3 linked regions of the Danio rerio genome follow. The protein of the gene in region 1 purifies or fractionates together with the protein of each later gene. This does not show direct contact. Links are inferred from orthologs where the notes say so. Each region holds a gene or a part of one and is shown in the gene's direction. Other genes may lie near its edges. The genes, in order: kif22, kpna3 and kpna4.

Region 1 (4,315 bases):
ATTGGATTGAGATCTGCTGACTGTGGAGGCCATTTGAGTACAGTGACCTCATTGTCATGTTCAAGAAACCAGTCTGAGCTGATTTGCGCTTTATGACATGTTGCGTTATTCTGCTTGAGTAGCCATCAGAAGATGGGTACACTGTGGTCACAAAAGGGATGAATATGGTCAGCAACAATTCTCAGGCAGGCTGTGGTGTTGACACGATGCTCAATTTATACTAATGGGCCCAAAGTGTGCCAAGAAAATATTCCCCACACCATTACACCATCACCAGCCTGAATCACTGATACAAGGCAGGATGGATCCATGCTTTATGTTGTTGATGCCAAACTCTGACCCGACCATCTGAATGTCGCAGCAGAAATCGAGACCAGGTAACGTCTTTCCAATCTTCTATTGTCCAGTTTTGGTGAGCCTGTGTGAATTGTAGCCTCAGTTTTCTGTTCTTAGCTGACAGGAGTGGCACCTGGTGTGGTCTTCTGCTGCTGTAGCCCATCTGCCTCAAGGTTGGACGTGTTGTGTGTTTAGAGATGCTCCTCTGCACACCTCGGCTGTAACGAGTGCTTATTTGAGTTACTGTTATCTTTCTAGCTGGAACCAGTCTGGCCATTCTCCTCTGACCTCTGGTATCAACAAGGCAGTGTTGCTGCCATGTGTTGCTGCCATGTGATTGGCTGATGAGAAATTTGATAAATACCTAATGAAATGGCCAGTGAGTATAGATTTTATTATAATTATATAAAGAAAATTGGAAAACAGATAAAAACTTTGTTAGCTTTTGTTGTTAATCAGGTAATAGATGACATTGATTAATGTTAATCTATGGACAGACAGAAAGAAATAAAAACTGAAAATAGATAAAAAGATAGGGTTGAAGGACCAGAACATTTTAATACAAAACATATTTTTCTACATTACTATAGTAAATATCAGGAAAGTGAGAGTGTAAAACTTATATAGATAAAGCAGATTGTTTACAAAGTGTTTCTGCTGTAGTTTAGACCAAAGAGTAAAGGCTCAATGAAAATCAACAAAAGAGCAATAATATGTAAAGTAATATATAGAATATAATTAAATATAAGGATATAAAGTGTAAGTGTTTGAAAGTGATTTGACTATTCACTTTTTACTGATTGCTGTTTTTGAAGCCATATTGAAAATACGACGTGTTTAGATTTCATCGCACACATCACATGATGTCGCTGACGGGGACGTTGAATGAATTTGCTTGTTTATTATTCAAATATATTTGTAAAAAGTAAAACAAATCGAATGTGATATCAGAAATGGAGGATTGACGAAGAACGAGTTTTTCCCCAGCATCACCGAATGATGGCAGTAACTTACGTGTTGTATGTTTCCTCTGAAAAATCTCTGGAGAAGAACTCCGTTTTCTAAATTCAGAAGTGCTGATTGGTTAAAATGAGCAAAATAGGCGGAGACTTTATATTTTGAAAATAACCGTGCCGACCCGAGAGGCGCCATTGTCAAGGAGTTTATACGGAAGTAGTGATGCATTGAATTGAGTAATTTTTAAAAAACACACTCACATTGTACCCGAGTGTGAATTATATATCGTTCAAGAACTGGATTAGCCGCTGCACAAGTGAAGAGGTAAACTTGTTGTATGTTTCGCAAAAAGCGGTTGTTGTTTAGCGATTTTTGAAAGGGGAAAGCCCATCAGGCCTTTAATTCAGCAGCGGCCGCGCGCTCAGAGCGGATAAACATTCAGAAAGCGGCAGCGTTTTCCGTTTAAAGCATTAATATTACTATTAATCGATGTTATGTTTAAAGTATGTCATTTGTATATCTGTAGCATATGTTTAACGAGTGGGGTAAAGTTGGTTTTATATTCGCACATTCGGGTTTTTCTCCGTAATAATGTCATTTCATTAAAGTAACGTTATTCTCTGCAAATTAAACATGGGCAAATCATAATAGCAGCCAACGACTATCAAACTACAACATTCTACAGTCAATCAAATTGTGCTAATGTTGTTTTAAAGTTATACTTGCATGCGGTTTCAGACCGAATATTCAAAGTAACAATAGCGTGGTAACTTCCATGAAGATAAGTTCGACAGATAAGTTACTTTATTCATCGCAAAGAGAATTTTATAAATAAGTTACCAACAGTGATCGATAAAAACACTGACATAATAAATACACACATACTCGGAAAATATGAAGAGTTCAAATGCAAAAAAAAACTCCAGGTGGCGGTTGTAATTTTTGTCTAAAGATTAATGTAAAGTTGGTTTAATATTTGCACATTTGTTCTATTAACTCTTTCTTTATTGTTTACCAGACCAGTTTGAATATTCGGCCAGAATTTAGCATGCAAGTATGTCTTTAAAACAACATTAGCACTATCTAATAAACTGTCAACAATGTTGTACTTTGAAAATCATAATATAACATATTTTCCCTTGCAAAAGAATACTAATCTGAAATTATATTATAAAGGAAAAAGTCTGAATCTGTCTTTAAAGACTGATATAAAACCAACTTTACCTCTATCTTCTAAAGTGAGCATTTTTCTCACCCTAATGTGTTAATTCCGTAACCTCACTTAAAAAGAACTATTTTATTTTGCATAAAAGTGATATTAATGAACACAAAGGAAGCTAAAAAAATATATTTTAGAAGATAATTTTTGATGGCACTTTGAGGCTTTTGCCATAGAGCTCTTCATATACATGCATATTCACACATCTTAGTATGTTCAATTTAAGTATATTTACAATAATTATTGTTTCAAAGCAGCTTTTTGAAAGGTGCACATTATAGCATTAATTCAATTAAAAGTTAAATAAAAAGTTAAAGCTACAATCAAATTTAAGTTATTATATACAGAGATCATTAGCCTGCAATTTTATAGCATATACAGGTGATGTATATGTGTGCATGTTTAATGAAGTTAATTATGTGTGCGTTGTCCTCTATGATCTGCATCGTCTCTTCACTAGGCATGGGATAACCGTCTTAAGGTATACCGCGGTTTGGAGAAGTCAAGCTTTTAAAGGGTCACGAAACACCAAAACACATTTTTTGAGCTGTTGACAGTCGTATATGTGTCCCACACTGCTAAAAACACTATTAGGACACCTATATTTCACTAAAAAGTGTAAATTGGTTGTTTTTGCGTTATTTCAAGCAAATTCGTACTTCCTGTTTGAAACGAATTTTTGAAGCTGCGTCACGGTCATGACATAATAGCGTGTATTCCACCGTGCAGACTGGACGTCTGTTCCAGAGTGTGTCTTATTACGTCTTACAGTCTGATGCATTAATGCATGAGTAAGGCTTGGTTCAAACCAATCAGCGCGCTCTATTGTGCAACTTCATTAATATTCATTAGTGTCACCGTGTTTACGCCCCAGAGACGCCACGTTGTGTTGGCAAAACAAGCGTGAAGTGTTGCTTTTATAGTTTGCTGCCATTAAGTTTCGTTTTCATTTTCTCTCTGTGAGAGTTCAGCTGGAGTCACGTGTGGATTACAGTGTACGCGACACTCGACAACAATAACTTACGTGTCTAAGGAGGATTATTGTTTACCTGAGAGCTGTTCTCATCTGCAAACGCTGAAATCCGGATTCGCTTGTAACGTTAGTCTTCTCTTCATAATGACGCGGCTCTAGTTGCTGGTGATTGTCCTGTCTCTACAGATTTGGTAAGTGAGCGACCAGTGCTCTTTGTTTATTCAGTTTGTTCGTATCGAATTAAGTTAACTATTGCACTGAGTGCAAACATAGCACCGCATTTTGTGACTGGAATAACACACGCGGTTTTCTGACGCTACCTGCCGTGTGCATCTAAGTTTCCGGGAAATGCTGAGTTTTTTATTCTCATTCGCCGTGCGGTATCAAACATTGCATGAAAAATACACGCTTAGAGCAGATCCTCGAATCAAATATCGCGTTTGTCGCGAGGGGCATGAATGAATTCCCTGAATGAAAGAGCCAAACTGCAATTAAAGTCCACCATTTAATAATTTGGCAAATAATTCGACTACAGATGTCCATGTAGGTTAAACACCATCACTTTTGTCATGTGTGTGTATTTTGACTGAAACTCGCGCGTGCCCAAATAGACACTCCCACACCATCCCACTTTAGTTCCTCCGACACTCCCCCCTAAACAGAGCTGGACACGCCCACTTTTCTGACTTTTTCCAAAGTAGAGGTGTGAAAACACCCTGCTGAAACGAGGGGGTTTCATGGCCCTTTAAAACTGCCAAAATTTCTGGTAATACTGTTCCTAAAGTATGTGTAAGATTTTTTTTTTATTTACATTTGTTTTGTTTTATTTT
Region 2 (3,654 bases), on another chromosome or scaffold:
TGTTCCACAGGGCCCCTGAACACGTATATTGGCATGTACTGTGTTTTGAACAGTAGCCTACTACAGTAAAGAACTTCAATTGATCAGTTGTGGTAATACTATAGTTGCTATGGTAACACAAGTGTAATATAAACAAATTACCCAGTGCTGTATTATTTTACAATATAGGGTATTTTATACTACAAATCACTACACTTTACTGTAGTAAAACTACACTTTGTATTTTATCTGTTCACTATTGTTAATACTACTATAATAAGTATAATACAAGTATACAACAAGTATAATACTCAAAAACACTAGAATTTATCTATAAACAGAATTTATCTTTAAACAGGTGAGATATCTGAGAAAGCCAGACAAAAGAGGACTGCAGTATACATTACAGGGGTATATTCACAACATAATAGCAACTGATTAGAAAATAATTTTATCAAAATTGAAGCAAGGTTAGCCTAGCAACCTCATACGCTGAACATTCAACAGCATAGTTCATGCACAGCAGGAGAGGTGAAATTATAAAATAATCTAATAACCTAAGAAACTGATGGATTTGTGCCGAATATTAGCATCATTGACCCATAAAAGTGTACAGTACCTATTACTGTCAGCATGTTTGTGTGCTCTTTATCCAGTTTTTATTCAAATTTGCAGTTAAGTGGAAGAAAAAAAAATTGAAATGCAAATCAAAGTATAAATAACAGAAGTGAACAAATAGATATTTCCTACCAGCAAATATTAGTGTATGTATTTATATGCGTTACAATGGCGAGGGTTTAAACTAAGCAGTGCTCATAATATCGAGTGGAAAAAAAGAAAAAGACAGCTGGTAAACATAACCTGCTTTTTTTTATATAAGAACACAGTTTAGATCTGTTTAGGATAAGAGGAGTGTGAGTTATTGCCACCTATCACTGAATGTGAATATCGAAAACAAAATCAACTTAGCTGTTAACTCCTTTACCGCCCCTCACACAGCTTGATCCACGCTGGCATTTCTCCTCTTGGGCTTTAGGTTTTGAAAAGGGAAATATCCCACCACCCAGTCCAAACTTTTAGGATAGCGGGTGTCAGATTTGCACAATCCAATAATTGCGCAACGATTTGGCTTGTTTCCCTCGCTCGAAAGCTTGACAGATTCCCTGTCCGTAGCCACGATTGGTAAGCCGCGATTGGTGGGTGGCAGTTTTTGGGCGTGGCTTAGCGAAGGGTCAGTTTAAAAGGAGGATCCCGTTATAGCAAAAGCACTAAAGGTATGAGACGCCATCGTAAACAAAAGTCAAGTGAACGCAAAGAGACTGAATGCACGAGCGAGCGAGCGAGAGAGAGAGAGAGAGGTGTATGTTGTATGTGAGAGAGAGAGAGACAGAGTATTGGCACGCGAGTATTGGCTAGATCTCAAATTCAAATTCTCTCTGCGTTCGCTTGACTTTTGTCCACTCCGGCGCCTCATAGTAGTCACGTTGGATACTGACGAATCAAAACAATCTACCGTGCTTTGATTGGATGTCATGCCGAAAGCGCGCATGCTGTCACACACACACACGCGCACGCATGCTGTCACACACACACACGCACACATAAACGGGGAGAGAGAGAGAGCGGTCCATGTCAACATACTTTTTTTTTATCTTTGGGCTTTTCATGGGAAGCAGCAAGTCTTTACAAGTCAATAGGGGCAAGTCCTAGTCAAAGTCCGAGTCATTTATGTTCAAGTCCAAGTCGAGTTGCAAGTCTTTTTATATTTTGTCAAGTCGAGTCTAAAGTCATCAAATTCATGACTCGAGTCTAAGTCACATGACTCGAGTCCACACCTCTGCTGAGCACTGTACATGCACATCAGCAACAGTACTATGTACAGAAGTGATCTTTCCAATTTTAAACAAAAACGTTCAGTACTATGGGATGTTGAATAATTGGTCCATTTTTTTCCCCAGAAGGAAATGAATTGTTCAGTTTTCTCATTTACAAATGCGGCAATTTGCTCAATTTGATAAATTTCCAGTGTAATTTCCATCCATGCACTTAGAGTAGCACTTTCCTGTGACAACCATTTTTTGGTTATGCTCTTGTTAACAGCCACTAACAGAATGTTCGATAAATATCTATCTCTTTTTAACCATTCCTCGGGTATATATCCAAACAAAAATACTTACAATCAAAGGTTATCACAGATTTAAAAAATTTTTGTAAGGCATCGTGTATTTCTTTCCAATATTTTGTTATATATACCGTTATTAAATATACATTTTAATGCATCAAGTGGAGTTTTCGCTAATTTGCTCAAGTGTATTCTCAGGATGAAAAATCACAGATTAGTTTGTATTTGTTTAGGTGCGTTCGGTCAAATGAAGATGCATTTAAATAAGATTAATTGTAAAGAAGCTGATGGTTTTTATTTCTCAATCTGTATAGAACAAAAGAGACGAGCATCTCCTGAAGAAAAGAAATGTTCCACAAGAAGAGAGTCTGGAGGACTCTGACGTGGACTCTGACTTTAAAGGGGTAAGAGGTTTTTTTTCTGATTTCTGCTCACTTCATACCTTTCATTTAAAGATTATTATTTTTCTAAACTTTTTGCTCTTTATTTTCAGCAAAATGTAACGCTAGATGCCATCTTACAGGTAAGATTCTAGCACGTGTTGATGTTATTGTTGGTGAGAGAGGCTTTAGCAGAAGGCTCACTTCTCTTCTTCCACTCATTCTCCATTTGTCTTGTTTTTTCTCTACAGAACGCCACCAGTGACAATGCAGTGGTGCAGCTCAGTGCAGTGCAAGCAGCCAGGTAAAGTTTTGCGATATGGATATGAAAGATTTGCATTTTTTACACATTAATACTTTCTAAAAATATCTCGCTTAGCCTCGGGTCAACATACCTTCATAATAGTTGCTCTTTGCTTTTTTTTAAGGTATAGTTTACCCAAAATTAAATGTTTCAGTTCATTTACTATAGCTTAGTTCAGGGGTTTTCAAACTTTTCAGCACGCGACCCCTAAAATAACAATGCCAGTGACTCGCGACCCCCAATATCCTCTGAGGTGGTTATAAATACAGAAAACTTGCATGCAATGGCGCACAAACACACACACACCAATAGACCAAAGTCTATTCTTCGTTTAATTTTTTTTTATGTACGTCAGTGCTGTAAATGGGCCAGAAAGTTTAACCTGGTGTTATAAAATCAATCTGCTGGATCTGACGCTTTTGCTGTCTTTAATATAATGTATTTACCCCAGGGGTCGCAATTCAATAGAACAAGTAAATAAGCTACTATAGTAACTATAAACGACTGTTTTTTTCTCTTCAGTTGGTTATGAATAAAATATGGTAATTCTTATGGCCTAATAATAAGTAGATTTTTGGAAATCACCAGGCGACCCACCTTCATTGTTCCGCGACCCCTCAAGGGGTCCCGACCCCCACTTTGAGAACCACTGGCTTAGTTCACACTACATGATTTTGAGCCCGATTTGGAAGTTAAGTTAGGGAAAAAATCTGGGGGTGCTTGGCAGTATTTATGTGTGAACTACTGAACAACACATCAAAGAGGCTTGCTGACACATCGCCAACACCTCGCAGATGGAAATCCAATATCTAGCATGCTTTATATTCGAAAGCAGCCGGCCAATTCGACCCCATGTGCGGTCAGATAAA
Region 3 (3,654 bases), on another chromosome or scaffold:
TTGCTGTGAAAATGCATGATCATAAATATCTTATAAACCACCCTACAAGCTAAATCCTGTAAGTATTGAATAAACCTAAATTTACATTAAAGTGTTGTAAACGAAACCCTGTGTAAGTTGCTCTATTGCGTGCAGTGTCACGCTTTTACCAGCTCTGACACTGTGTTGTAACAACACACGATACGATGCGTGCAAAAATGTATATTTTCCATATTACGGATTTTTTTTTTTTTAAAACAGCAGCGTGCAAAATTTATGTTAATATGCTGTTGTTAGTGCGACGTTGCAGAATTTAATAATATATATATATATTATTTAATTCTGCAACGTCGCACTAAAACAACAGCATAAACTTCAATGACTTAGATCACCTCAGCTACTGATTATGGGCATTTATTGCCATGCTGATAGTTAACTTCATGTCTTGAAAATTAAAATGACTTGCAGACGATTTGCAATGGGTCACGGTTCGGGCTTTGATTTTCAAACCAATAACATCAGTCACTCAGCAGCCTATTAATAATGTTAAATATTTATTAAGTAGACCTTAATAAATGACCAAAAGCCTTCAGCATTTCATTGGGAGTGCAGTGGCTGGTGTTTAAATGTTTCTGTCGTGTTGCGCTGCTTTTGCTGAGGTCAGAATATTTGCTTGTTGCTGCAGTCTTGTTGTTAGGACATGTGAGGCTGATGTGTAATGAATCTGGATGTTGTGCTCTTGCAGGAGGCTGTGTGGTTCCTGTCCAACATCACAGCAGGAAACCAGCAGCAGGTTCAGGCCGTCATTGATGCCAATCTGGTGCCCATGATCATTCTGCTGCTGGATAAGGTGAGTGATGACCCGAGCTCTCTTTAACAAGTTTACCACCCACACTTCAGCTTTAGTAGTACTAAACTAATAATATTAATAATAATTTCTTATATTTAAATATATAGCGCTTTTCTGGACACTCTAAGCGCTTTACATTTTGGGTGAACGATCCTTTTGTATACGTGTAAAGTTCGCTCATCATTTAGTGACCCTTGATTACAAAGTAGAAAAATCAAATATCACTGAGGTCGATGGTTGCAGGTTTCCAGCTTAAGCCTATTTTTTTTTAGCGTTCACAATATTGACAATACACACAGACGTGACTCAGACTAATGCAACAAGTAAAATCCTACATGACTTCATGCTTTAACAGGCAGTCAAGCAGGTCGCACACCAGAAGCGCCGCGACACGGTGCGCACATGACAGTTTAAACTATCACACACCAAACGCGCACATTGACATGATATTTAACATGAAACTAATCAGATGGCGCTCTGTGGGCTGGATGAAATATGAACTGCTTCGTAAATCGTGACTGGGTGGCGCCGGTGTGTGTATAGAAATCGGTTTAGAATTCTAAAATCCATGGCGCTGCGTGGTGCTGTGCATCGCCGAGAAGTGCTTCTGGTGTGCTTCCTGCTTCATAGAGTGAACCAAAGCGCATTGGTGCCATTATAATGTATTAAATATATATTTTTTTTAAGAATCGTGATTTCTCGATTTGATTCAAAATTAAATCGTCTTAAAACGTAAATTCGAATGAATAAAAAAAAAAAAGGGAAAAATCGCCCAGCCCTACCTTTACTTGATTCAAACGTCCAAGGTTTTCCTCAGTTGAACACAAAGTAGAAAAATCAAATATCACTGAGGTCGATGGTTGCAGGTTTCCAGCTTAAGCCTATTTTTTAGCGTTTAACAGAAAAATATTTGGAATCAATCAGTTATTAGTGAGGAAATGTAATTTTTGGGAGAGCGGTCTGTTTAACGTGGGTAGAGAATGTAATTGTTACTCCTAAAATAAAAACTTTAATATTTTTAGGACCCAGAGAAGCAAAAGTTAAGACTTTGAGGTGTTTCTGCTTCACTAAACCAGAGGTTCTCAAAGTGGGGGTCGGGAACCCCCGAGGGGTCGCGGGACAATGAAGGGGGGTCGCCTGGTGATTTCCAAAAATCAATTAATTTTTATTAAACCTTAAGACTTACTGTATTTCATCAATAACTTACTGAAGAGAAAAAAATAGTCGTTTATAGTTACTATAAACTATATAGTTACTATAGTAGCTTATATTTAATAGTTCTATTGGATTGTGACTTCTTGGGTAATTACATTATACTAAAGACACAGCAATACTGTCAGATGCAGCAGATTGATTTTATAACACCAGGTTAAACTTTCTAGCCCATTTACAGCACTGACATACATTAAAAAAACAAAGAATAGACTTGGGTCTATTAGTGTGTGTGTGCATCATTGCATACAAGGTTTCTGTATTTATAACCACCACCTCAGAGAATATTGGGGGTCACGAGTCACTGGCATTGTCCTTTTGGGGGTCGCGGGCTGAAACGTTTGGGAACCCCTGCACTAAACTATGAGAATTTTAACTGAGCTGAATTTTTGGCACATTTTAATGTTACCGTGAACATGGCACTGCTGTTGTTGAGTCTCTCCATGTAATGTTGTTGTCTCTCGCAGGGAGATTTTGGCACTCAGAAGGAAGCAGCGTGGGCCATCAGCAACCTGACCATCAGTGGCAGAAAGGATCAGGTGTGTGTTCAGGTGCACAAGCATGCGTCAGGGTTCTTGCACCTTTCCCAATGTTGAATATAAGCACTTTCTGGGTGCATTTTCAAACTCTTCCTACATGTCAACTTGCATATTTATAATTCATCCATACTTCATCACATTATTTTAGTTACTATTGTTTTATTTCAATTCTACTATGTTAGAATTAGTGCTTGGCAAAAATTAATTGAATCCAAAATAAGTTTTTCTTCACATAATATGTGTGGGTGGCACGGTGGGTCAGTGGTTAGTACTGTCGCCTCAAAGCAAGGTCGCTGGTTCAAGTCCTGGCTGAGCCGGTGTGCATTTCTGTGTGGAGTTTGCATGTTCTCCCCGTGTTGGCGTAGGTTTCCTCCGGGTGCTCCGGTTTCCCCCATAAACACATGTGGTATAGGGGAATTGAATGATCTAAATTGGCTGTAGGGTATGGGTGTTTCCCAGTACTGGGTTGCAGCTCGAAGGGCATTCGCTGTGTAAAACATTTGTCAGAATAGTTGGCGGTTCATTCTGCTGTGGTGACCCTTGATGAACAAAGGAACTCAAGTCAAAGGAAAATGAATGGATGAATAATATGTGTGTGCATATTTTATTACATTTCCAAGCACTTTATCCAAAATCAAAGCACTTTTCAAACTTGTTCCGTTCCAATTTGGGCATTTTCAAGGATTTCCAACAAGCTGAAGTGTTAAACACGGTGTGATCTTATCCTGTAGGTGGCGTACCTGATCCAGCAGCAGGTGATTCCTCCGTTCTGTAACCTGCTGACTGTGAAGGATGCTCAGGTAGTGCAGGTGGTTCTGGACGGCCTCAGTAACATTCTCAAGATGGCCGACGATGAAGCGGAGACTGTGGCCAACCTCATCGAGGAGTGTGGAGGTGAGCAGACGCTCGTGTTTGTGTGTGGAGTAGCAATCAGTGTTCGAGTATCTACTTGTACGCTAAATCCTAGTGTGTATGTTTCGGGAGATGATAGCACGTGTTGTTTGAGTACTTTTAACCATTTATTTAATTTCTCACTTTAAAGTCACTCCAACCCCTACAAATCTGGACCAAAAT

Evidence for each region.
Region 2: the proteins of kif22 (region 1) and kpna3 purify together in Homo sapiens (affinity purification with mass spectrometry; 3 studies listed by BioGRID and IntAct, counting the BioPlex papers as one, with this or other methods). This does not show direct contact. The link is inferred for Danio rerio from reciprocal best matches to the Homo sapiens genes KIF22 and KPNA3.
Region 3: the proteins of kif22 (region 1) and kpna4 purify together in Homo sapiens (affinity purification with mass spectrometry; 3 studies listed by BioGRID and IntAct, counting the BioPlex papers as one, with this or other methods). This does not show direct contact. The link is inferred for Danio rerio from reciprocal best matches to the Homo sapiens genes KIF22 and KPNA4.

What each region holds. Positions count from the first base shown.
Region 1 is NC_133187.1:5,588,386-5,592,700, forward strand, and holds the start of kif22 (kinesin-like protein KIF22), read left to right. Parts: upstream 1-1,483; 5' UTR 1,484-3,019; intron 3,020-4,227; 5' UTR 4,228-4,315. UniProt on the Homo sapiens protein: Kinesin family member that is involved in spindle formation and the movements of chromosomes during mitosis and meiosis. Binds to microtubules and to DNA. Plays a role in congression of laterally attached chromosomes in NDC80-depleted cells.
Region 2 is NC_133176.1:49,989,633-49,993,286, reverse strand, and holds part of kpna3 (importin subunit alpha-4), read left to right. Parts: intron 1-2,415; coding exon 2,416-2,505; intron 2,506-2,594; coding exon 2,595-2,624; intron 2,625-2,732; coding exon 2,733-2,785; intron 2,786-3,654. UniProt on the Homo sapiens protein: Functions in nuclear protein import as an adapter protein for nuclear receptor KPNB1. Binds specifically and directly to substrates containing either a simple or bipartite NLS motif.
Region 3 is NC_133190.1:1,641,156-1,644,809, reverse strand, and holds part of kpna4 (importin subunit alpha-3), read left to right. Parts: intron 1-724; coding exon 725-829; intron 830-2,508; coding exon 2,509-2,580; intron 2,581-3,311; coding exon 3,312-3,474; intron 3,475-3,654. UniProt on the Homo sapiens protein: Functions in nuclear protein import as an adapter protein for nuclear receptor KPNB1. Binds specifically and directly to substrates containing either a simple or bipartite NLS motif.